3 linked regions of the Tribolium castaneum genome follow. The main gene of each other region encodes a partner of the protein of the gene in region 2 in a complex. Links are inferred from orthologs where the notes say so. Each region holds a gene or a part of one and is shown on either strand. Other genes may lie near its edges. The genes, in order: thoc6, Hpr1 and thoc7.

Evidence for each region.
Region 1: the proteins of Hpr1 (region 2) and thoc6 are in contact, whole or in part, in a cryo-EM structure (PDB 7APK), measured with the Homo sapiens proteins. The link is inferred for Tribolium castaneum from reciprocal best matches to the Homo sapiens genes THOC1 and THOC6. Residues at the interface, in NP_005122.2 of Homo sapiens: Ser227, Pro229, Ile230, Asp231, Tyr232, Leu234, Arg236, Val270, Ser273, Tyr274, Asp309, Leu312; in NP_001334633.1 of Homo sapiens: Leu57, Ser58, Ser59, Glu60, Pro312, Glu313, Lys315, Thr330, Asn331, Gly333, Tyr334, Ala336.
Region 3: the proteins of Hpr1 (region 2) and thoc7 are in contact, whole or in part, in a cryo-EM structure (PDB 7APK), measured with the Homo sapiens proteins. The link is inferred for Tribolium castaneum from reciprocal best matches to the Homo sapiens genes THOC1 and THOC7. Residues at the interface, in NP_005122.2 of Homo sapiens: Leu10, Arg14, Glu46, Gln53, Arg56, Glu60, Ile63, Ile64, Asp99, Asp102, Cys103, Leu104, Pro105, Arg146, Gln151; in NP_079351.2 of Homo sapiens: Tyr47, Gln51, Leu54, Ser55, Ser58, Gln59, Phe62, Gly65, Lys66, Leu69, Val70, Met73, Arg76, Glu77, Asn80, Ile84, Ile88.

The regions. Positions count from the first base shown.
Region 1 is NC_087395.1:25,798,203-25,806,304, reverse strand, and holds thoc6 (THO complex subunit 6), read right to left. Parts: upstream 4,242-8,102; 5' UTR 4,061-4,241; coding exon 3,948-4,060; intron 3,902-3,947; coding exon 3,512-3,901; intron 3,467-3,511; coding exon 3,304-3,466; intron 3,255-3,303; coding exon 2,934-3,254; 3' UTR 2,902-2,933; downstream 1-2,901. Other genes in the region: uncharacterized protein LOC103314375, read left to right, coding at 1,639-1,814, 2,199-2,620; protein rhomboid, read right to left, coding at 4,622-4,957, 5,005-5,325, 5,378-5,551; uncharacterized protein LOC662691, read right to left, coding at 6,814-7,256, 7,575-7,987; DNA oxidative demethylase ALKBH2, read left to right, coding at 4,458-4,473. UniProt on the Homo sapiens protein: Component of the THO subcomplex of the TREX complex which is thought to couple mRNA transcription, processing and nuclear export, and which specifically associates with spliced mRNA and not with unspliced pre-mRNA.
Region 2 is NC_087399.1:4,610,754-4,619,663, forward strand, and holds Hpr1 (THO complex subunit 1), read right to left. Parts: upstream 4,909-8,910; 5' UTR 4,807-4,908; coding exon 4,768-4,806; intron 4,721-4,767; coding exon 4,049-4,720; intron 4,003-4,048; coding exon 3,779-4,002; intron 3,731-3,778; coding exon 2,716-3,730; coding exon of another isoform or gene 2,594-2,715; 3' UTR 2,568-2,593; downstream 1-2,567. Other genes in the region: rRNA N6-adenosine-methyltransferase ZCCHC4, read left to right, coding at 1,191-1,451, 1,497-1,939, 1,984-2,268, 2,314-2,548, 2,594-2,719. UniProt on the Homo sapiens protein: Component of the THO subcomplex of the TREX complex which is thought to couple mRNA transcription, processing and nuclear export, and which specifically associates with spliced mRNA and not with unspliced pre-mRNA.
Region 3 is NC_087397.1:9,556,814-9,564,222, reverse strand, and holds thoc7 (THO complex subunit 7 homolog), read right to left. Parts: upstream 6,217-7,409; 5' UTR 6,096-6,216; coding exon 6,059-6,095; intron 6,006-6,058; coding exon 5,392-6,005; 3' UTR 5,271-5,391; downstream 1-5,270. Other genes in the region: arginine-hydroxylase NDUFAF5, mitochondrial, read right to left, coding at 2,798-2,950, 3,001-3,143, 3,258-3,597, 3,938-4,089, 4,136-4,427; alpha-ketoglutarate-dependent dioxygenase alkB homolog 6, read left to right, coding at 4,623-5,270. UniProt on the Homo sapiens protein: Component of the THO subcomplex of the TREX complex which is thought to couple mRNA transcription, processing and nuclear export, and which specifically associates with spliced mRNA and not with unspliced pre-mRNA.

The sequences.
Region 1 (8,102 bases), on a different chromosome or scaffold from region 2:
GATTTTTCCGTTTCTCGATAACTCTAATAGTTTCGCCGTAATTGGCGGTTGAAAATTGTAAAAAAGTGAAAATGGAAACCTTTTTTTGCGTTTTTCTCGGAAACTGTAAGACTTAGAGCAACGAACAAAAAATCATCTGATAGCGCTTAATTTTCTCTATTTTTTCGATTAAACCCGGAGCCGCTCCGGGCAACGGTTCCGGCTACTGAGGCGATCAAAGTTTTTCACTAAAAAAATTTATAAAAAAAAAACTAAAAGTCGTAGGGCATTGCGGTTTGTTCTATTGAATTCTACGGCTTATTTTACATATTATATCAATTTTTCACACGAATTAAAAATTTAAAATTTTTTGCCTAAATTTAGGGTAGCCATTTGTCATAGTGGAAAATTTTATCCAACAAAAAAATTCATAACTCAAAAACTAAAAGTCGTAGAGTAATGCGGTTTGTTCCATTGAATTCAGCGGCTCATTTTCTGTGTTATACGAACTTTTCATGAGATTTAAAAATTTGATTTTTTTTTGCTAAAATTTCCTGAGTAATAACACTTACCTTCAAGAAAGTGAAAAAATTATTTTTTTTTAAATTCGTTCTATCATATTTTTCGTATTTATAAATGTCCTTACAACTCTCTAGAGTTGTTAAAAGTCCAAAAAAAGTCTATATGTTCGATTTTTTGATGTTTGATTTTTTCAATTTTCGTCGCAATTTTTGTCAATTTTGAGTACCCGGAACATTTGTTGAGCTATAGCTCCGGAACTATCAGAGATAACCCTATAAAGTGTATTATCGTTGGAAAGCTCTTTGAATTATCTATTTTTTTCAAAAAAAATTATTGTTCTCCGACTAATAGTTTTTGAGCAAATTGCAGATAAATGCAAAAATTGGTAAAATTTTAAAAAATTCATAACTAAAAAACTATTGGGAATTTGGCAATTTTTTCGATGCCAATCGATTCCCCGGATCATTTTGCATGGGTGAGGATCAAAACAGTTCCACTTTTTCAAATAGTTTAGTCGTAATTGGGAAAATAAAAAAAGTTAAAAAAAGTTAACACAATAAAAATAGTTAACACAATAATAAAAAAAGTCGTAGAGCAATGCGGTTTGTTCCAATGAATTCAGCGGCTCATTTTTCGTCTTATAATCACTTATTAGTATTAAGTATCAAAAATAAAAAAATAGTTCAAAATTCTTGAATTATTTGCTAAGGAATCAATAGTTAGTAGTTATAATCTAGCAGCCAAACAAACTTTTCTCTGTTTTGTCCGCTTGTTTCCCAGCCATCTCCGATAATTCCGAAAATGAATCGATTATCGTCGAAGTGTACACTTGCCTGGGGTCATTTCTGCGTTCCGTGGGCTATAATTCACAAGTCTGGTTAGAGGAGGAGTCCGGTCTGTAGTTACCGGTCCATAGCTCACATCCTCCTCCAGCGTGTGGTGTTTAGTTTGTCAGAGGGGCAATTAAACGCCTCGGAAACTCAGGTCAAGGGGTACAAAATCGTGGAAAACACCTGTTCAATATCCACCCACGAACGATAATTGTAGGGTCGTCGCAATCTCCTTATTAATCTCGATCGTGTGTGTGTGTTTTTTTTCCTATTCGGACAACCAAAGCTAATTGTGGGTAAATTTTAGGCCACGATTGAAAAACCGGCCAACATTCCGGTCGTCTTGGCCTTCCCCAGCATTCTCTACCAGACGAGAGTCGGAGGATACCAAGCCGAAATTGCCTTGCCTTTGGGGATGGTGGTTAATGCCGTTTTTAAAAACCAGCACTGGTTGTATGTGCAGACGCCGCATGCCGAGGAGGGGTATGTCAGCTATGCGGCCTGTTTACCACTAGGTAATAAACAGATTTTTTCCTAATTTTTTGACTCAAAAAAGAGCGAAATCGAGCAATTTTTAGTCAAAATCAAGTAACCTGTGTTTTTTTTTAAATCAAGTTGGCAAAGTTCAACTTATAGTGTGTCAAAGTCATAGACTGCTTAAATTAAAGGTTTCACTATAAAAACTGATATGATGAGTAAAATATGAGTATTTTTCTGAACATTTAATAGAATAATAATTTTTTTTTGTAAGTTAGGTAACTAATAATTTGGTAATTTGTGCAATAATGTTTCAATGAAAATGATTTGTTTGTAGCTTTAATTTTTGAAAATTTTGTTAAAATGGTAAAATCAAAAAAATTATATCAGGCATTATCCCACCCCCTGAGGACGACGCCACCGCCCCTTGCTGGGAGAACAGCACCGATGTGTTCCCTAAACCCTCCGGCAACATGACCGACACCGAAAAACTCAGCTCCAAGTCGGAATGTAGCGTCGAGACGCGCTGCCACAGCCGAAGACTGCGCCCCTCAAGCACCTGTGAAGAAAGAAGCGTCGATCGACTCTACCTCAGCGCTTTGGCATCCTCAAAACGTGGCAAAATCCAACGACAAACACTCCTAGTCATCAACAGTGACTACTTTGGCACCGAAAAAAATGCCCTTCAGGTGCAGAAAGGCGACGTTGTGGTACTCCAGGGTACCCATGTGCCGGGGTGGTTCTGGGTGCGCAACAAGGAGGGAGAGGAGGGGTTCATACCGGCGGTTATAGCCGGACACGGATTTTTGTAAATAAAAGTTGTACAAATTATTTATTAAAAATTTATTTCAAACAGTTTAAATTGTCTTTTAATACAGTCCTGCCAACTTAAATATGAAATTTGCGATTTCACACAATAATACGCCAATTTGAGCACTCAAACTTGGCCATACTGTAACTTAATTGTTCTTAAAAAAATAATAAGGGTTATAAACGATTTGGGGTCACATTCGAGCGATTTTTGACTCTTTAACGGTACCTTATCCTAACCTAAAGAGCATCAATGACAGCTGTCAAATTCAAATTCTGGACGAATTATTTATGGTTTATTATTTTACTAAAGACTTAATACAGAGATAGTTGCAAATTTTTGTAGATAAAGTTGCTACAAACGTCGATTTTGGGGCTCGACCCCGCAATGCACAAAGTCTGGAAGGGCTCATCCTGATGCACCGCACTGTACGTGGTCACAGGAGACGTCGGAATTTCCGTGATAATGTCCCCGTTAAAACTCATTTGGTAGAATAAATTAGAGCGCCCCCCTGCGAAAATCCTGTCTTGGTAGACCTCCGCCACATGAATCCCTTTATCGTCAATGGGGAACACTGTGGCGATATTCAGGGAGCGCAAGTGCCATAAAGACAGTCGGGGGCCGCCGCCGCACAACTAAAAAATCATTTAAGGGGGGCCACTTCGCCCAAAATTGCTGACATACCAGCCAATCATCGTTAATCCCAACGCCCCCTATCCAGGGCCCCAGCTCCACCCTGGCCACTTTATCCCTACTGTGGGGCTCGATTTTGCTCACTGGGGGGCCTCCTCTCACATCCCATAGCAGCACAAGCCCGTCTTCGCCCCCCGAAACCAGTTTATTGTTACTGAAATGCCATGTGACCAAAGTACAGGTTCCTGTAATCACTTACCAGAAATTGATGCAGTGAACGTAATTCTTGTGCCCTTTAAAACACCGCACTTCTTTTCGTGTCTCGATGTTGAAAACGTAAACATTATTATCGCCACAGGCGGCAAATAATAAATTATTTTCGGGCTCAAACACTAAACAATTAACGTCAGGTTTGTCGAAACTGTCTTTGGAGTTCGGGATTTCAATTGTCCACGAGCAGGAGGGTTTTTTGCTCGTTTTGACGTTCTTCCAGGAGTACCCCAAAATCTCGCCAACTGTCCCCACAACAAGGAACGCTTTCATGGTCAATAAACTGTTGATTTGGACGTCTTCTTTAATCGTGAATGCGTTTTTGGGCAGTTGGTCTTCTTTTGTGATCGAAGATCCTTGGTTTGTTAGCTTGGAAAGGCTGGAACTGGGGTTCAGGGGGCTGCTGGAAGTTACTTAATACTTACTGGAAGACCGAAATTGTGCCGTAAATGTCACCTACGACGAGATAGTTGCCACACGGGGTGAAAGTCTGGCTCAAAACAGTGTTATAGAACGATTTATTCAACTTGTTCACCATTTTGAGGTTAAGAAAAAATAACTTTTTGTGAATTAAACGCACGTTTAATAGGCAATATTACTGTACAAAGTCTGGTTTTATTACCAATTATACGATTACAAAGGGCGCAAACGTGTATTTAACATAAATACAGCCCCAAACATTAAACAATATAACCTCAATCGACTTAATACAGGCAACTTAACATGCAACGCGGTTAAGTTAGTTGCATACCTAACTTTATTTATGTTTTTTTTATGTCATAATTAAACATATTATACTATAAACTCTAAAACAAACGTAAAAAATATACCTTAAAACGTACACATATTTGTATAGATATAAAAAAAGAACGAGAAAACGCAGATTTAAGTGTTAAAAACGTTAAAAAAATCTCAGTTGAGCTAGTGGTGTTGTGATGAGCGTGCAACCAAGTAAGCAGCAGTTTGTTTAATCGTTTATTTTTCACTTTTTTACAAAACCAACGTCTAAAAATAGCCGCAAACATCTATAAGTTGTGTAATTTCACGCTTTACTTTGCTACCGCACATTTATAGCCAAACACTCGTTATAAAAAAAATATCAGCAAAAATAAACATACCGCTTGCGTATGGCATCCTTCGGAGTACATTTTTTAATCTGAACGGTTATTATTACAAGCGAGATCAATAAAATTACGTAAAGTAATAAACCCACCAAAAATAAAACTAATCTCCGTGTGCGTGCAATTGACGGTTTTTGCTTGAAGAGCACTAGACCCAAAAACAGGCCTGCGAGGCCCCCGATCATGTGGGCCCCCCACGATATCAAAGGCTCCTTTTTAAAATTGGCATGTAACACGTTGTAGATAATGTCGAAAATGACGATTATTCCGATACACGCAGATCTGTAGATTTTGTAATTCAAGGTTTCAAAGTTCTGAAAAAAATTACAAAAATGTTGTTTCTCGCTCGCTTTATACCTACTAGAAAAATATCGGAAATGTGCGAAATTAAAAGCGCATACACGCCCCCGGAGGCCCCAATGACCAAGTCGGGGTGAAAACAGGCCGCTCCCAAGACTCCGGTGATTCCCCCGGTCACGTACAAAACAAGAATCCGCACGCTTCCGTGTCGCGCTTCTAAAAAATAGGCGAAAAGCACTTGCATGAAAATATTGAGAGTCAGGTGGATCCAGTCTTCGTGCAAAAGCATGTAGGTGACGAATCGCCAAATTTCGGTCAGTTTGTGCGGTTCGAAGCGGAGCAGTTTTTGGGTTTTTTCATCCGAGGCAGCGTAGAAGATTATCTGGTGAATTACCATAAACATTAGCTAAAAATAATGCAAAAATCTGGTTTACCTCTAAAACACTGACTGACAAAATACCGAAAGGTGTGTTTCTTGCCCAAGCGGCCCATTGCGACGATTTCTTCACTTCTTGTGATAAGGGAAAGGGGATAAAAACTTGCTCGGTTTCGATTAAGGGGTCGATGGGGTCGGTTAATTTCACTTGGATTTTTTGCGACGGTGGCATAATTAAAATTTACCAAATTTGGGTCGAAAACTTAATTAATTAAAATTGTGTGTGATAATAAATTAGGTACTTACTGGAACATGTCCGAAAGTGGAGGGAAATAGGCCCGATTTTGTGTCGTACTATTTGAGCAATTATTATGCGGCATCTACTCCGCATACAGTTTGAATAAAACTGAACCAACTATAAATAGTTAAAGTTATAAAAACAAAAAACTTGCGTTTAAGAAGGTATTTCACTCTCGAGGAGAGTGAAAATAGTTAGACATGACTCCTCTGTAATTGATACACCTACTGACAATTTATTTAATGAAGTAATTGCACCGGTTTTAAGCGAAATGCCAGATAAAAGTGATAAAATCGATGAAACAAGATAAGAATGTTGTTAGTTTGGTTTAATTGTAAATATGCCCCAAAATATGTATGTATTTTTTTTATTTACATTTAAAGTTTAAACTTGCACGTATTTTCTACTCTTACATTTTTATGTTTACTTATCAAAGTAAGCGAAAAAATTCTTATTTTTGTATTTCCGTCAATGGTGACCTAAATATTAGGGTGGCCATGACGTTTTAAGAGCAATAAAATAAAAAAATAATAAAATAAAAAAGGCCAGTAGAATAAACACAAAACCATTTCTTTGATTTTTATTTTTAATAATTACATAAAACGTAAGTTGGTTGAATAGCCTCAAATTGCAGTGTATAAAAATTGTCTGATATTTCCTACAGTTTACCTACATTTTTTCACCTTATTATCCGCTCAAAACAATTAAAAAATTCGTTTAAATTTTTGGTAAAAAAATCCTACAAGACCAATATCACACACGTAATAATTAACCAAAATAATTAAAAACTAAATTAGATGTAATGAAATATCGGCAGAATATCTGAACGTGTTCCATGGCAAATAGAAATTTGTACTTGGCACCTGTCAAGGTGATTGCGGTTGTGAGAGTTAAATTAAATTGAATTAAATTAATACTACAATACGTGAACAAATACGTATTTTAGTCCAGTCACTAAGCCTTTAAATCAAAATACTTTAGCTACTTCCACTCAGCTTATCTCTGTTAATTTCAATAAAAAAAATAACAAACAAAAGAACATTTTTAGTAAAATTATGTAAATAAAAGTCTGTAAAACTAATTCTCGAGGTTGAAAAATATTCGTTGACTCCACGTTTTCGCAATTTTTTTCAAAAACTATTATTTTGATTTGAACCCTTTCTGCTGGACTTTCTTAGGTATAAAGTGAGTGAGATCTAGCATTTCAAAGGCCGACATTGCACCCCGGTCTCAGTGCACCTGCACTCCAAGCAAGGATTCGACAATTCGGAGATTATCCTTCCGACCCGATACATCCTTCCGTAAATATTACAGCCCGCCAGTTTCAAAATTCCGACGTTTGAAGTGCTGGAGTCGACCGTATTTGAGTCGAATTCGGTCGTCGAAAGTCGCTGTGTTGTTGTGGAAGTTGTTGTTGTACTCGTCGTTGTTGTAACTTCTTCCTCGGTTGAGAACAACAATTGCAAGACTTTGTCCAAACTGAACGGTTTTTCGGTGGTTGTTTTGCGCTTTAAAACGTCCACAATCAGCGATTGGAGGTTGGGGGCGGGCTCGGTTCGGATCACGTCCCGGAACGGGTCCGGAGTCACCGTTTCCGGCGAGTCCATGCGGTCCAGGACCACAGTCGGGAGCTCATTGTCTGGAAAAACGCAAAAAAAATCATTCCGTATTTTAAATATCCTGAAAACGCTAAAATCACTAACTTTTGCGTATTGTTAGGTTGGTAGCGCTCCCGCGCTTGTAATTTTCTCCGCCAACTGTCAAATCTTCTAGTTTTGTTAAATCCGAATTCAAAGCGTGATTTTGGTCAAAATTTTGAATTATTTTTGTGTAACGCCGTTTTTAAAGTGTTAATAATCGTTCCTTGTTTGCGTATTAGTGATTGGTGGTAGCAGATTTTGACTTTTTTTGGTAAGTGACTAACGCAAATATTCTCAATTGGGTGATTTGGTCTTACCACATGCAAAAAGTGGGCAACACGTAGTCGGATCTTGTAATAAAAACTTCTGGCAGTCGATTTTCGGTATAGGACAGATGGTTTTCTGGCACACAATGTTGCCGTAAAAACAGCCACAAGTGTTGCATGTTGTTTCGGAAACTATTGACTCTCCATGATTGATTTCTTGTTCGTCCAGAATGCAAGTAATTTCACGCAATTGTGGCGAAATTGTCGTTGTTGTTGTGACAATTTCGTCATACAAATTGTCCAAAATCGGGGGTTGTTTGGGGATGAATCCGCCCTCTGTTTCCACAGGGGGTGAGAACAGGTTGTAAGTGTGTGAGATATCGGTGACACGCTCTTGGGGGTGGATTACGTTGTGTTTTTCGTTTTCCAAGTCGAGGGCGTCCGCTGCGACGAAGGGGATGATTCTGGAACATTATTTCTTCTTACTTTTTCCCTACATTACACGCTCATGTTTTTTAAACAATTTTTTTAAACTCACTCTAGCAAAGTTTTATGGACTTTTGTATGTCTTAACAACCC
Region 2 (8,910 bases):
ACGAGGCGGTTTCGTAGTTAAAGGGCAGATTCCGCTTTTGAGGGCCAAACTGCGCCAAAATCCCTCAAAACAAAAAAAATAAATTTTCTACGAGTGATAATAATCCAAATGACGACCAACACTTTATAAATTATTGAAGAAGGTAATTTGGTAGAGATACTAAGTCGATTAGCCGCAAACGAGCTTAAATAATTAAATTTAATCTTATATCGGGAAAAGAGTTAAGTCCGAAGACAGAGTCATCTACTCGCCGTCAGGCGGCCTAAAATAGATTTTATTCAGTGACTGAAATCGCACATCTTACGTACTACTTTCGACAGAATATGAGTCGAGTAAAAGATTTATTAGGGGCATAAATATTAGTAGAATGATGGTTTAACTTACAATTTTTACAAATTGCAGGCTTGAGTTATGTTCACGTAACAATAAATAGGCTAACACTCCACAAAGTTATTTATAAACGAAAAATATTTAATACTAGATAAATCCACTTGTACCAAGTGTTTTGTCACAAATATCGATTATTAGCCAATTTCGTTTATCGATTGTTATAGGTGTAGCAAATAAAAGGTTTTCAAGTAGTATTATTAATTATTTAAACACTGAAAACTGCTTTTGTCAGCTTGGTGCTTTAACATTTCTAAAATTTTCCAAAAATTGTATTAAAGTTCATCAGTTTATATAAATAAATTTATCGAAAACAAGAAATAATTTATTTGGTTCGAAGGCAAAACAAATTTCTTCAACAAAAAGGTGGTAAAACGACTTTTGGAGGCCGTTCAAAGACAAGCAATTATCCCAATTATCGCACTTTTTTATGCACTGTAAGCTAATAATTTACCTACTTTTGAATATTACAGATACATAACAAATTAATCAATTAGAGTGAAGTTTCATAGACTCACTTTTAATTAATCTGAACCAAATAAATGCCAGAAAAACCGTTTAAATAATCAACAAGATTGGAAAAAACTGTAGTTATCTTCCTAAACGTCTTCTTTAATTAGTTTTGTAATTTATTTTTTCCGGAACTTTAAAATAAATGGAACAATCGATATTTTTTTAATTTTTTTTTTCAAATTTAAATTTTTCTTTTTTTTGAGGTTGGCAGTGGCACTCGTGTGCCAAGAAGTAGGGTTATGTTAGATTCAATCAGTTCGTAATTTCTTAAATAACAACAAATTAAAGGTATGTCAGGCGTGGAAGTGATTACTGACGACTTGCAAAGCCACCCCTGGTGCTCCCACGGCCCCACCCTCCTTTTTTCACGTACTAGTAATGGGGTTAAGAGACGTTTTTTCGCCTGTTCGGCCTGCAGGGACCGCAAACTGTGCCCCTTTTTTCTGTACGAAGACGAAAAACATAAATACAAATCTGAGGGGTGGAAAAACGAGCGTGAAAAATTTCTTCGGAATATTGACCACAGAAAATTATTTATAACTTTAAACCAAGTAAGATTTTAAAAAATGATTCGGCTGTTTGAGTGCGTTTTTTAGATGCGTCAATTACCCCCAACTGATAGGGCATACTGCCATACGTGTGCCGGCTTCCAATTGAAAAAATTCTGGGACAAACATACCGAACATAATTTTGTTACAACAGTTAGTGATTATGAAATTGCACATCCGAGTGAGTTTTTGCCCCCTTTGGAGGACGCAAAGAAGGAGGCACAGTTTTTATTTTCACTGACTTCGGTCCGTGTGATCGTGGACATTTTTAAAAGTTTAAATTACCGCAAAGTTATTAGTTTGGGGACCCCCAGGATCCACGAATTTATCACAAATCAGTGCCCTGATATGGACACACTTTTACTAGATTTCGACTCGCGGTATCACAATTTTTACGGCCCGTTGCAATTTTGTTGGTACAATAGTTTCAACAACCATTTTTTTCTCCCCGAGTCTCAACAAGTGTTTGAGGATTTTTTAAAAACTGAGAGGTGATTAAAGCGCTACGTCTATTTTTTTTAATTATTTTTTTCAGCGATCTCGTACTGATTTTAGACCCACCTTTCGGGGGTCGGGTCGAGCCCTTAGCCCACACAATCAAACAAATCAGCGAAAAATACAATCAACTGAATGAAAAAACAAAATTGTCGGTATTTTGGGTATTCCCCTACTTTATGGAACCGCAAATACTAAACAGCCTCCCCGACTATTCCATGCTCGATTATAAAGTCGACTATGACAACCATCCTTTGTTTCAAGACGGCGCTAAGGCGCGGAAATTTGGGTCACCCGTCCGAATTTTCACGAACGTGGACCCGAGGTAAGCCGACGATTTTTACGAACTTTTCGGGACAAAAAATTGTAGTAAAATAGTCCTTCCGGCGAATGAAGGCTACAAATTTTGCCAAGAGTGCAACAAATGGGTTTCAAACGAAAACAAACACTGCCCCATTTGCCAGAAATGCACCTCGAAAGACGGCCGGACGTACACCCACTGTCCCATGTGTGCAAGGTGCGTTAAACCGAGTTGGCAGCACTGCGAAAAATGTGGTCGGTGCTGCCAACCGGACCACAAATGCGGCGACTTGGTCTTTACTCAGGTCAGTCTCAAACTCCCAATTCAAGGTTTAATAATTTTATTAAAGGATTGTTTCCACTGTAAACAACCGGGGCACAAAAAACGGGACTGTCCCAAGGTTGATCACAAACAATTACATATGAAACGCAAATTGAAAAGTAAAAATAGGGCGAAACGAGTTAAATACAGTTAGGAATCCATCGAATTGATTTCATTTCGGACAATTTCCGCCGCCTCCTCCATCTCCAACCCTTCCAAAATGTACAAGAAGTTGTCCAAAGTGGCATCTTCGTCGTCATCGAACCACAGTTGTAGCATATTACGGGCCTGGTCCACCTCTTTCTCATTTTCCATACTGAAGAACTGGATTTCGTCAGTTTTGAAGCCCAACTTGCTGGCTAGTTTTTTCCAATTGGGGGCCACTTTCTCGCTGAAGAGTTGCAACTGGTTCGGGTTTAATTTATGCTCGACTCGCGCGTTCTTATCGTCCATAAATTCCTCCGTTTCGGACGGTTTGATGTCTTCGGTGTTTTCATCAACTTGCGTGTCCTTAAACAAATTTTCTTCCTCGGCGTCGTTTTGTTGCGACTCTTGCGAATTTTCGGTCACGCGACCTGGCTTATCATGCGCTATTTTCTTGACCATCATCTCCAAATACGAAGACAGGGGGTTCATAATCACAGTACTGTAGGTGAAAAAGTGGGGGCTGCGCTTAGCCAAGAGTCTCAAAGCCCGCCACCCGTAATTCCCATCTTTCAGTAAATTGTCTTCGTCTTTGACTGCGCCAGGTGACTCGATTTGGGCGATGGCATCGGCGAAATAATCCTCAAGTGTGGGGAGAAAATCGCGCTCTCGGCCTTTACAAGCCTCCAAGTTATCGGGGCATAGGTTCCACAGTTTGGTCAGTTCGGTGCTTCCCATGTAGTATTTGCCCTCACTGGAGGCCTGTTTAATGATGTCGCCTAAGAGAGGGCGCTCTTCGGTTCGGCGCTTGTCGGGGCTTTCCGTGGGAACCACCGATTTTTTCAGTTCGGGACAACCGTCGTTCTTCCAAGCGTTCCAATACTCCTCCCGACTTAGAATATTTGAGGCGATTTCGGCAAATCGTTTACCGTCTGGAGGAGTCTCGCGTAACAAACTGTAGACTTTTTCGGTGCTTGATTGGATCCACTCTTTTTGGTCCGACTTTAACTCGAAACTTTCGCTAAAAAAATAAATTAAAGGTGCGTCTAGTTTAAAGAAACCGACTCACGATTTAAATTTTACGGATGATGAAAGGTACTGGAATAAAATTAAAAACTGCAACAGGACGGCGCGCCGAAAATTGACGTCGTACAGTTGCAAGTCGAGCAATTTTTGGCTCGTCAGGTACTTGGAAAAGTACATTTTATTTTTACTTTCGTCACAATAGCTCCCGTTATTTTCCACGTGTTCAAGCTTGAGGCCTTGGAACGTGTTAAAGACACTCGTGGCGTACTAAAAAAAATAATAAAAATCGGTTAAAATGCGCAAAAATAATTACGGTGCAAAACAGTTTCCATTGCACTTTAGTGTACAACTGGTTGGGGTTCCGGAAAAAATCCTGGAGCGACCAAAACTTGCAATAAAACGTGAAATCGATCACGTTTTTCTTTTCGTCGCCGTCAACGTCGCCCCCCTTTTCCTGGCTCGAGTCCGTGCCATACTCTGTCGTGTTTTCCAAATTAAATTCGCTCACAATATTCAAACCTGAACGTTCAGAAAACGGGAAAAACTTGGCCAAAAAGAGGAGAATTCGGCCGCAAAAAACGGTCGCCGTGGACCGAGATAACCGCCTCAATAAGTCGTTACACAACCTGAGTAAATTATTTTTGCAACAACTGAAAAACAAGTTCTCTTTCCACACTTCGACATTGTTCTCTACGTAGAGGAACATTTCCTGACAGGCGTCCAGCGTTAAGGCGTCAAAAATGTCCGAAAGGAGCATCACTGGCATTGTGGGGTTGCTCAGTTCCTTGCGACATGTTAGGACGCTAAAATCGACCAACTCGCGTAAGACTGAGACGTTGACTTCCTTTTCAAGGAGTTCGAGTAAGACGTCGCGGAACGCCTGGTCCAGAGGGGCCTTAAGGTCGATGGCGGACTTCGACAAGTGTTTGGCTTTAGTTTCGATCAAATCGGTGGTTTTGGTCTTGAAAGATTTGCGTAAAACGTCCTAAAAACCGGGTTAGAAGTGGCGTTTGAGGTTATGTCGGGGCCCACCTGGTATTCGACCCGTAACGACTCGAATTTGCCCCCCATTGCTTAAATGCAACGCTTGGAGGGCCCCCAACGTGAAAAACGCTCAATTTCGTGTGAAATACTTGAATAAGCGACCGGAATCGTCTTGTAAACAACTGTCAAAGGTCAAAAATAATGTTAGAGTCCGCGAAATGACAGATCGTCCACGGTGGTAGGAGTGCGCAGATACGAAAACTCGTCTCGGACGAGTCCAATCTTTAAATTAGGGGTGTTGGCAGAAAACAGTGGCGTGGCGTGTACTTACATGTGTAGGGAATTCGTCTTAAAGTTTAACATTTCAATATTACCAGTTATAGTAAAGATACCAGTAGAAACATTTTTTGCAATAAACGCGTTTTTACTCTTTACTCATTGTGTATTTTTATTTATTCGACCTCTCTGCTTTGTATTTCTAGGAAATCAACGTGTATTAGCATTAGATATGATTTTTACTATTTCATCTTGCAATTATTGAATAGAGGAAATTTTAACTACTACAAATTATGAATCTCAAACCCTTCTTGATCATAGAATGGTTTTTTGCTACGCCACTGCTCAATCTCCTCACTCGATGAAGTACGCATTGGCTCCGCCTATCGTGGTCGTTTACAGAGTTTCCGAGCTCTACCACTAATTTTCGCACTAAAATTTCACATTGCCAGTTTCTGTTTAAATATAAACATGCATTTTTATTTTTCCATTAACTGCATGCGAAACTTTTATAATTTTAGACGTTTATAGACAAATACATTTGTCATAATTAATTTTTCTAGATCAATACTGTTCTATTTTGAATAATTCTGTGTATGAATGTTTCTAAATTTGACGGATTTGGACAGTGAATGTTTCTGGTTATGACCTGTTTTAGACGTGTGATGACGTCACATCCGAGGTTAGGTGTGCGGCGCAGGCGGCGAGGGCGGTTCAGTCGACAGCGAGCAGTGGTACGGGTCAGATCGGGAGCGGGAGCGGGAGGCGAGGCGAAGCGAGGTGAGTCGGTTTATTTAAATTATTGTGTATTGTGCGGTTTCGTTCAATTTATTCAGTTTGTTACTTGCCGTTGTCGCGAACGGACGTGTGTTCAAGCAAATCTAAATTTTCCGGTTTAAATTTTCAATTCGGTGGCTAGTGATCGCGTTTGAGTGACACATTTTAAATACAGTAAATAAAATTATAATCAAACACTCAAATAATTAATTGCCACGTAATAATTTTGTCTTTAATTTCAATGAATGAAAGTGGCTTGCTCAAAATTTAATGCAAATAAACATTTTTTTGGTTTCAATATTATTATTATTTTTTTTTAATGCTACAAACGGTAGCCAACGTGGAAGCGATATGAAGGTAGGTGTATTTTATTGCTGTGTCGTATTTATTTATTTCTCAAACCAATAATTTCATAAAACTTAATTGCAATTAAAATCTTTAAATGCGGTGTTGAAAAGTGATATTTTGAGTGACACATTTTAAATACAGTAACTATAAATAAAATAAAACACTCAAATAATTAATTGCCACGTAATAATTTTGTCTTTAATTTCAATGAATGAAAGTGGCTGCTCAAAATTTAATGCAAATAAACATTTTTTTGGTTTCAATATTATTATTATTTTTTTTTAATGCTACAAACGGTAGCCAACGTGGAAGCGATATGAAGGTAGGTGTATTTTATTGCTGTGTCGTATTTATTTATTTCTCAAACCAATAATTTCATAAAACTTAATTGCAATTAAAATCTTTAAATGCGGTGTTGAAAAGTGATATTTTGAGTGACACATTTTAAATACAGTAACTATAAATAAAATAAAACACTCAAATAATTAATTGCCACGTAATAATTTTGTCTTTAATTTCAATGAATGAAAGTGGCTGCTCAAAATTTAATGCAAATAAACATTTTTTTGGTTTCATTTTTATTATTATTTTTTTTAATGCTACAAACGGTAGCCAACGTGGAAGCGATATGAAGGTGGGTGTATTTTATTGCTGTGTCGTATTTATTTATTTCACAAACCAATAATTTCATAAAACTTAAATGCAATTAAAATCTTTAAATGCGGTGTTGAAAAGTGATATTTTGAGTGACACATTTTAAATACAGTAACTATAAATAAAATAAAACACTCAAATAATTAATTGCCACGTAATAATTTTGTCTTTAATTTCAATGAATGAAAGTGGCTGCTCAAAATTTAATGCAAATAAACATTTTTTTGGTTTCATTTTTATTATTATTTTTTTTAATGCTACAAACGGTAGCCAACGTGGAAGCGATATGAAGGTAGGTGTATTTTATTGCTGTGTCGTATTTATTTATTTCACAAACCAATAATTTCATAAAACTTAAATGCAATTAAAATCTTTAAATGCGGTGTTGAAAAGTGATATTTTGAGTGACACATTTTAAATACAGTAACTTTAAATAAAATAAAACACTCAAATAATTAATTGCCACGTAATAATTTTGTCTTTAATTTCAATGAATGAAAGTGGCTGCTCAAAATTTAATGCAAATAAACATTTTTTTGGTTTCATTTTTATTATTATTTTTTTTAATGCTACAAACGGTAGCCAACGTGGAAGCGATATGAAGGTAGGTGTATTTTATTGCTGTGTCGTATTTATTTATTTCTCAAACCAATAATTTCATAAAACTTAATTGCAATTAAAATCTTTAAATGCGGTGTTGAAAGTGACATTTTGAGTGACGCATTTTAGATACAGAAACTATAAATAAAATAAAACACTCAAATAATTTATTGCCACGTAATTTTGTCTTTAATTTCAATGAATGAAAGTGGCTGCTCAAAATTTAATGCAAATAAACATTTTTTTGGTTTCATTTTTATTATTATTTTTTTTAATGCTACAAACGGTAGCCAACGTGGAAGCGATATGAAGGTAGGTGTATTTTATTGCTGTGTCGTATTTATTTATTTCTCAAACCAATAATTTCATAAAACTTAATTGCAATTAAAATCTTTAAATGCGGTGTTGAAAGTGACATTTTGAGTGACGCATTTTAGATACAGAAACTATAAATAAAATAAAACACTCAAATAATTTATTGCCACGTAATTTTGTCTTTAATTTCAATGAATGAAAGTGGCTTGCTCAAAATTTAATGCAAATAAACATTTTTTTGGTTTCATTTTTATTATTATTTTTTTTAATGCTACAAACGGTAGCCAACGTGGAAGCGATATGAAGGTAGGTGTATTTTATTGCTGTGTCGTATTTATTTATTTCTCAAACCAATAATTTCATAAAACTTAATTGCAATTAAAATCTTTAAATGCGGTGTTGAAAGTGACATTTTGAGTGACGCATTTTAGATACAGAAACTATAAATAAAATAAAACACTCAAATAATTTATTGCCACGTAATTTTGTCTTTAATTTCAATGAATGAAAGTGGCTTGCTCAAAATTTAATGCAAATAAACATTTTTTTGGTTTCATTTTTATTATTTTTTTTTTAATGCTACAAACGGTAGCCAACGTGGAAGCGATATGAAGGTAGGTGTATTTTATTGCTGTGTCGTATTTATTTATTTCTCAAACCAATAATTTCATAAAACTTAATTGCAATTAAAATCTTTAAATGCGGTGTTGAAAGTGACATTTTGAGTGACGCATTTTAGATACAGAAACTATAAATAAAATAAAACACTCAAATAATTTATTGCCACGTAATTTTGTCTTTAATTTCAATGAATGAAAGTGGCTTGCTCAAAATTTAATGCAAATAAACATTTTTTTGGTTTCATTTTTATTATTATTTTTTTTTAATGCTACAAACGGTAGCCAACGTGGAAGCGATATGAAGGTAGGTGTATTTTATTGCTGTGTCGTATTTATTTATTTCACAAACCAATAATTTCAAACGTATTGTGTATTTTTTATTTTGTTTAATATTGACAAACGTTGCTTGTTGTAACTTTCATGCAAATAAAGATTTTTATTGGTGTTGTTTTAATTTTTTAAATGTCTTGCTACAAACAGTAGCCAACGCAGAAGCCATATGAAGGTAGGTGCATTTTTTTGCGTTTTATCTTGTGATGTGTTGATTTAATAGCTTGTGTGCCATATATTATACCGTATTGTGTATTCTTTTTTCTGTATA
Region 3 (7,409 bases), on a different chromosome or scaffold from region 2:
ACGTTTGGATAGTGTAACTCTTGCAGGAAATCATTTTACGATCATTAGGATTTTTTATTTTCAGCTTCAGAAGATATACAAATTATTTTAGGGTGAATTGGTGGTTCGTCATCGTTTATAAATATTAAAGAAAACGATGTTTCAAAGTACCTTTCATTTATTAGGCATACTATATGGTTTTACCAATGGTTTAGGTAGAATGCGTTACAAATCTGTGATTTTTAAGACATGGCTTAAGTTTTCTGAAAGGTATTTGCAACCTTTTAATCAGCAGATATTTGCAATACATTGTTTAGGCAAATGAAACTATTTTGCACACACGTATTTTCAAAACCTGCTATTGTTAATTTAATTTTAGTAAAATGTACAAAGAATGTCGTTTTTTTCAAATGAAATGGTTTAAAAAAGCTCGATCCAGCGTTCCTCTGCTGCGTTACTCTCTGCTGGAGTATCTCTGGACCGTCCGTTCCAAAGTCCCTGCCATAGATTATAGTTAATTATAGTCCCTGTCTAGACCTCTGCTCACTCTCACGCACCGCTCGTGAATCACCAAACTCCCGAAAAAAATCTACTACTTTATTAATTTTTTTGAGTTTTTGTATTTATTGTTGTATTTGTTTACAATTACATTGTAAGCTCTTTTTCACCTTCTCTTCTGCTAATTGTACTTGTTAAATTCAATTTTTTTGTCGGATTTAACCTCACAAATGCTATTTGTCAGATAAACGTCAGTGCGCTAAATAGGGCGCCATCTACGGTCTCGAAAAAACCGCTGAAGCTTATCGATGCGCCAGGCCTGAACAACGACGTTGTCTCCATACATCAAGGAGGCCATGAGAGAAAGACAAAGAAATCTTTACATTTGTGTTACTTATTTGGATACCCCTGATAGTTGTACCCCAAAATTTAAAAAATGCAAACATTATGCAACCAGTTGTACAAGCAAAAGTTTAGGTTGCCTAACTTGATAATTATTTAGATAATTGAGTAAAAGTTATTAATGAAGGAAAATAAAAAAAAACACAATTTTAACACTTTATTAAAAAACTGTAACAAAATAAATAACAATAAGTATGTAATATCTTGGTATATAAGTCGGTATATACAAAAATAATTTCGGAAAAATTACAGTTCTGTGGTATCTTCGCTTTCAATAAACCTCCTGTGGCAAACATGCGTTATATTAGTGTCTGGAATAATATATGGCCCATTCCTAAAAGCACCTCTTCCGAACTGAAACAATTATGAATTGCGTCCTCGACAACTTATAACCAGTCTTGGAGGCTTAATCTTATTTTGTTCATTTTCAAATAGTAGTAGGGGTCCACATACTCAGTATCCATTACTCGTTCGATTCTGATTTGCTTTTTTCGCGTTCCCCTGTATTCTCCAGTGCCCTCTCGTTTTGTTTTGCTTTACTCTTCCACTGCATCCAAGTGAACTGCAAAATTGGGTGCGCCCGTTTAAACAAAGCTTTAAATTTCTGCACAAAACATAAATTAAAATATACACCAGGCCCAAAAATTTTAAACTCACATCTACCGTGGTGTAACCATCCATTTTAGTGACTGTATAAATCCCATCCAGTACATTAACCATTTTGGGTCGTCAACCACCAAAAAATCAACCAAATGATCGGCAAATTGGGCCCCAACATAAATTCAAAGTCGGATTTTATTCTTTCAGTACCATAAAATGCGATAAGAGCAAACTCTTCAATGATGACCAAAATCAGGATACAATTCCCAAGTAAATAATGGCCCTGGAGTCTCCTAGATAATGTAAAAATTGCCCTTGAGAACTCACAACCTAAAACCAAGCCCATAAAACCTTAAACAAACAAAAATTTAAAACCAAAATGTTTATTAAAATCACAGAAACATTGACTTTAGACCTTTTGGGGTTCCAGTGATTCACTACGAATTTAATTTCTAAAATTTTGCAATCTTTGACAAGTTATATAGGCAACCAACTATACAGAAGTTTAAATAAAATAATTCTGCAATAATTTTAAACCAAAATGTGTATTAGCATTACAAGCATTCAAAGAAGTGAAAAAATGTAAAGATTTTCTTGCGTTTTCGTGATCCTGATACAAATTTTGGTTTTGGAATTATTTATTAAACTATGTAATACTAAAAAATTTACAGGTTACTGTAATCCGCTATTTTAAAAAGTATACATAAATGATGCACATTTCTTTATAGAATTCTGTAAAATTATACTTTAGTACCTGGAACCTAGATGTCACCATCTAACGCATACTAATATTAATATTGAAACTGCAATTTTACAGAAATCTTTTAACTTTACCGTGTCATCTCTGCATGTCATGGTCTCCTTGATGTATGGAGGTTGTTAAAGCTCCATACATCAAGGAGGCCATGGTTTGAAATTACTTTAAATCCAACCAATTCACTCATAACTACAAAAAACGCAGAAATGTTGAGCTTTTCACTCTTAACAGGCTAAGGAAAACTGACGACAAATTTCTACAAGAAATACAACAAAAAAATTAAGTCTCACGGATTTTTTTGTAGGATTTAATTCGCAGCGTGCAAATTGGTGAAAGTTTGATTTTTTTTTAATATAGTTTACGATAAAATTTTTGCATCATACTTATGGGAATGTAATTCTCTATCTGTTGTAGTTTGTTGTTTGCTATGTTTTAAATGTTATCCAAATGCACGACGACTAGGTGTAAAAAGACACGTTTTCGTTTCAACACTTCAATAAAATATAGAAACTTCATGTCAAAATATACAAACCAAACTAGATTTTATCTAATGACTTTAAACTAATTCTTCTGATCATCGTCGTTTTTGATCTTCTTTACTTCTTTAATGATTTCATCCAATTTGTACAAATCCTTTAATGATACTTCCCCACTTCCCCTCTCTAGTGGTTTAGGTTGTTTGGGATGGGGCTTCCACCCTAACATATTAATGATCTAAAAATGATTAACTACAAATTAGATAAATAAAATAATTTGGTACGCACTTGAAAAGTGGCAGGTATTGTGGTTTTCCCCGTCTCAGGATCAGTTTTACCGTAAAGTTGTTGGTAAATTGCTGCTGCAGCAAACTGAGTCTCTCGGTGCAAATGAAGCGACCTATTAATAGCAGCATTACTCTCTGCCATTCCTAAAAACTCACATTATAAAAACAATAATAATACACCGGGTGACTATAACAGTTTGTACAAAATACTATATTGGAAACACTGTGATAATAGTCACCCGGTATAATCACCCTAACCTTTAAGGTCCCACATTAATTCAAACAAAGTAGGATAATTCACAACAATTTCATCAGTGTCAATAGTGAGCATTGTGAAGCCAGCCCTTGTCAACAAATTGCCAATATCTCTAACTTCGGTAAATGGAGATATGTGAGGAGAAATGCCTCCACGACGCTCTAATTCAGCCAACTGGAGGGAAGATCTCAACTCATATAAAGTATCTCCTCCAAAAACCGCCGCAAGAAGAACACCATCCTCCTTAAGCGATTTTAAAATTTGCTTAAAAGCGTTCGGCAAATCGTTCACCCAATGCAAACTCAAACTTGATATAACCAGATCAAGGGAGTTTGGCTCAAACTGAATGTAATATATTTTAAACCAGTTACAGAGGATTATGGCTAGGAGACTAAACGAGATACAAACTTGCAGGATTTAAATCAAACCAACTCCCTAATAACTTGTAAAAAATGCAGGGTTAAACTTTACAATGGAACAACTGCCGCTCTCTGGCGACATTAACGGAACTATCAAGGAACTTATTACTTGTACTTCGTTTGATATCCTAACATTTAGAGATCCGTAGCTGAGACATTGAAATTAATAGGTTGGCAACATGAGTATGCTGACAAGGGCGTCATTGTCGCCAACTTATTAATTTTAAAGTCGGAGACTACTTTGATCAGGAAATTTCAATCACCTCAATGTGTTCCTCATCTAGTACTTGTTTCCTAACTTTAATACCCTCTTGTACTTGAACACTGTCTAAATTAAAGCGGTTCATATCACATAAGATTAGTTCTTCAATACATTTTGGTGAAATATGTTTGGACACGTAGCCCCTGCTGCAACCTAATTTAGGTTTAACCTTCCTCTTCCTGTATGAACTTAAACTCACCAATGTCTGCGGCCAGTTTAAACTTGCGTTTGATATCAAACACCCTGTCTGCTAGTCGATAGCCAATTTCATCTTTCAAATAATCATACAAATTGGCGTCTTGTGCGGAAGCCGCCCGTTCCCTTTGCAAACTCTTGGTGTTCCTATCAAACACATGCATAATGTGTTCGTCATTTTTCTGGTGAATTAAAGCACCGACCGAAAAGTGTCTCGCTTTTTTAAGATTCTTCAAAATGCGGAGTTTTGTCAAAGAGGATTTACGTGAACGGAAAACTATATTAACCAAAGACATGACACTGTTTAAATGAATTAAAAACAACTCATTTCAGCACAACAAATCATAATTGTCACAATGACAGTTTAGGATTTTGAGGTTAACCAAATGTCAAATGTATGTCAACTGTTGTGATTGAAGTTAGATTTAGCCCTCCGCCCCATTTTTCTGTTCCAAATTCTTACATGTATTTATTTTACTGTTGTGTGTTCGATGGATCTGAGCAGTTTTCAAGTGTTACAAGCCCCTCCGACTGTCTACTACATTCCAAATTTTGTAACACCTGAAGAGGAGGCCCACATTTTGAAAAATGTGTATTCAGTGCCCAAACCAAAGTGGACGTGTTTGTCCAAACGAAGACTGCAAGACTACGGGGGCGTGCCCCACGAGAAAGGCATGATTCCGGAAGCAATACCAAACTGGTTGACGAAATACATGGAAAAAGTCGCTCAATTGAACGTTTTTGAGGGAAACAAACCGAATCAAGTATTAATCAACGAATATCTTCCCGGCCAAGGCATAATGCCACACACTGATGGGCCACTGTTTTATCCCACTATTGCCACCATTTCGTGTGGCTCTCATACAGTATTAGAGTTTTTAGAAAATAACGAAAGTCGTGCTAAAGTTTGCCAATTACTTCTCGAAAGGTGTAGTCTAGTTGTAATTAAAGACGACATGTACGCTAAATACCTCCATTCCATTAGAGAAATTGAAACTGATGTTATTGATGAAGGCTGTGCAAATTTACTAAATTGTGAGAAACAATACGCCATTGGCGATAAAGTCAAAAGAGACACGAGAGTTTCTCTAACCATTAGAAATGTGACTAAGGTGCTTAAAATAAAACTATTCAAATAATTTTTGTACTTGCTTTTATTCGCCTAAAATAACATAGCTGATGACATGTAACCATGGTAACTGTCAGATTTTCTAACATAAATTAAGTAACCGTGGTAATTGTCACTTTTACCAACTTAAATTATTCAGACATGGGTTCAGGGCCTGTGCTGTCCGCCACATCCTCAAGTAGACTGTCGTTATGGCAATATTCGTTTGACTCCTCCAACATTGCTTGTAATTTGCTGGCGCTGGACACCAGCACGTGAAATTGTTTTCTCCTCATGTCCAGTTTCTGCTCCAGCAGCTCCTTTTCCTTGTGCAACTCTTTCAGTTCCGCTTGTAAGTTCGAAAGGCGTTCGTTTGTTTCCTTGCGTGCTGGCTGTTCGGCAATACTTTGTGCCAACAAATCGTACATCATGTGGTTTTGTTTCCATATTTTGGCTTGTACTAAGTTGTCTTTGTTTTGTTTGATTGAGTCTTTTACTTCGCTGATTTGCTGTTCAAATTTGTCGTAAATTTTTTTGTAGTTTTCAAGCTGACGCGATGTGGTTCTTGTGAGGAGTTGGGATCTCCTGACTGAGTATTCACAAAGGCTTAATTGTGCTAGTAGTTTGTCGTGGGTTGCTTGGTTCTCTAAGGGGGAGTCTTCGGTGGAATTTGCCCATTTTCGAAGAGTTTTTGCTATTACGTTGAGCCTGCGATCGTCGCCGGTTCCGTCACCGTCTATGAGTAACTTTCTTTTGATAATGTCCTCTAGAAGTTTTACTGTTTGGACACACTAGTAATTTTATAAGGGAAGTATTTACCATCCGACATGGTACCACGTTTGTCCTTTTGTTTCATTAAGGCGGATTTGTTTGCACTGTGGACGCCGAAAAATTTGTATTTTTTGAGGTTATGACACAAATTGTCAAATGTTGGCACTTGCCAACAGTTGCATCGAAAGTCTAAACCAAAAATTACTAGAAATAGCAATTAGAGGACATGTTGAGATAAGTGTTTTAATGGTTGCATATAACAAAAGCTTATAAAGCGTAAATCATTTAAAAATATGACTATAATTTATTTTATTAAATAATACGTATTTTGGTGATTTTGTCATCGGCTACGAATGTTTTCACTATTTTAAAACACGCTTTCCATAGCAACGTGTTTTAAATTTAAACAAAAACAAAAAATTTTGAATAATAATTTATGCAAAAACGCTTAAAGTTCTCAGGTGTCTAGGTGTCTCGCATACGCTCGTTGCATAACGACAGCCCTCGAACTTTAAGCTTCTAAAGTACCAACTTTAGTCCCGGAAATACAAAAAAGCAAATTTTTGTGTCGTTTTTTGCTCCTGTAAGCAATTTTTTGTGCATTTTTTTTGTCGCAACCTATTTGTTTTGAGTTGTTTTTGCTCCTGAAAGCTTTTTTTGTGCAATTTTTTGCTCCCGCAAGCTATTTTTTGGCCGTTTTTGTAAACACAATAATACCTCAAAAAATTCAACAAAAAATAAACTATGTATTAAAGATTTTTACATTTTAAGTGAATCTGCTCCAGTTTTTGCTACCACAAGTTATTTCTTGTGCTATTTTCTGTTTTCACAAAAAAGCAAAAAGTTTCTAATTTCAATTTTAATGATGTTTGTTATTTGGGTAATTTATTTATTATTATTTTGGATAGACATATTTCAAAATTTTTTATCGCTATTAGAGTATTTCATACGCGATGTGCATTTGACAAAAAACAGAAAGGTCTAGAAAGGTCATCACAATTTAAATTCAAAACAAAAAAATAAGATGAATTTTCGGTAAATCTTACAATAAACAGTCTAAATAGTTTTTACTTTTTAGACACGTAACTCGTAGTTTCATATTTAATTAAGCTTTAAAATATTGTTTTATTTATATTTTATCAATTATATCAAACTTGAAGCATTGCAAGATATTTAATATCTGGTTTCTATCGGTACAGGTACTAACGGAATGATCACCTGATGATTATATTTACTCTAGGTGATTTCACGTGTCTAATGAGAAAAAATTAATAAAGGGTAAAGTACACCAAAGTAAACATGACTGATAACGGTGTACTTTCCTTGTTTATTATTATTTTATTACTACTTGATTCATTATTTAAATCACATTTTTAATAAACGTGGATACTTTAGTTAT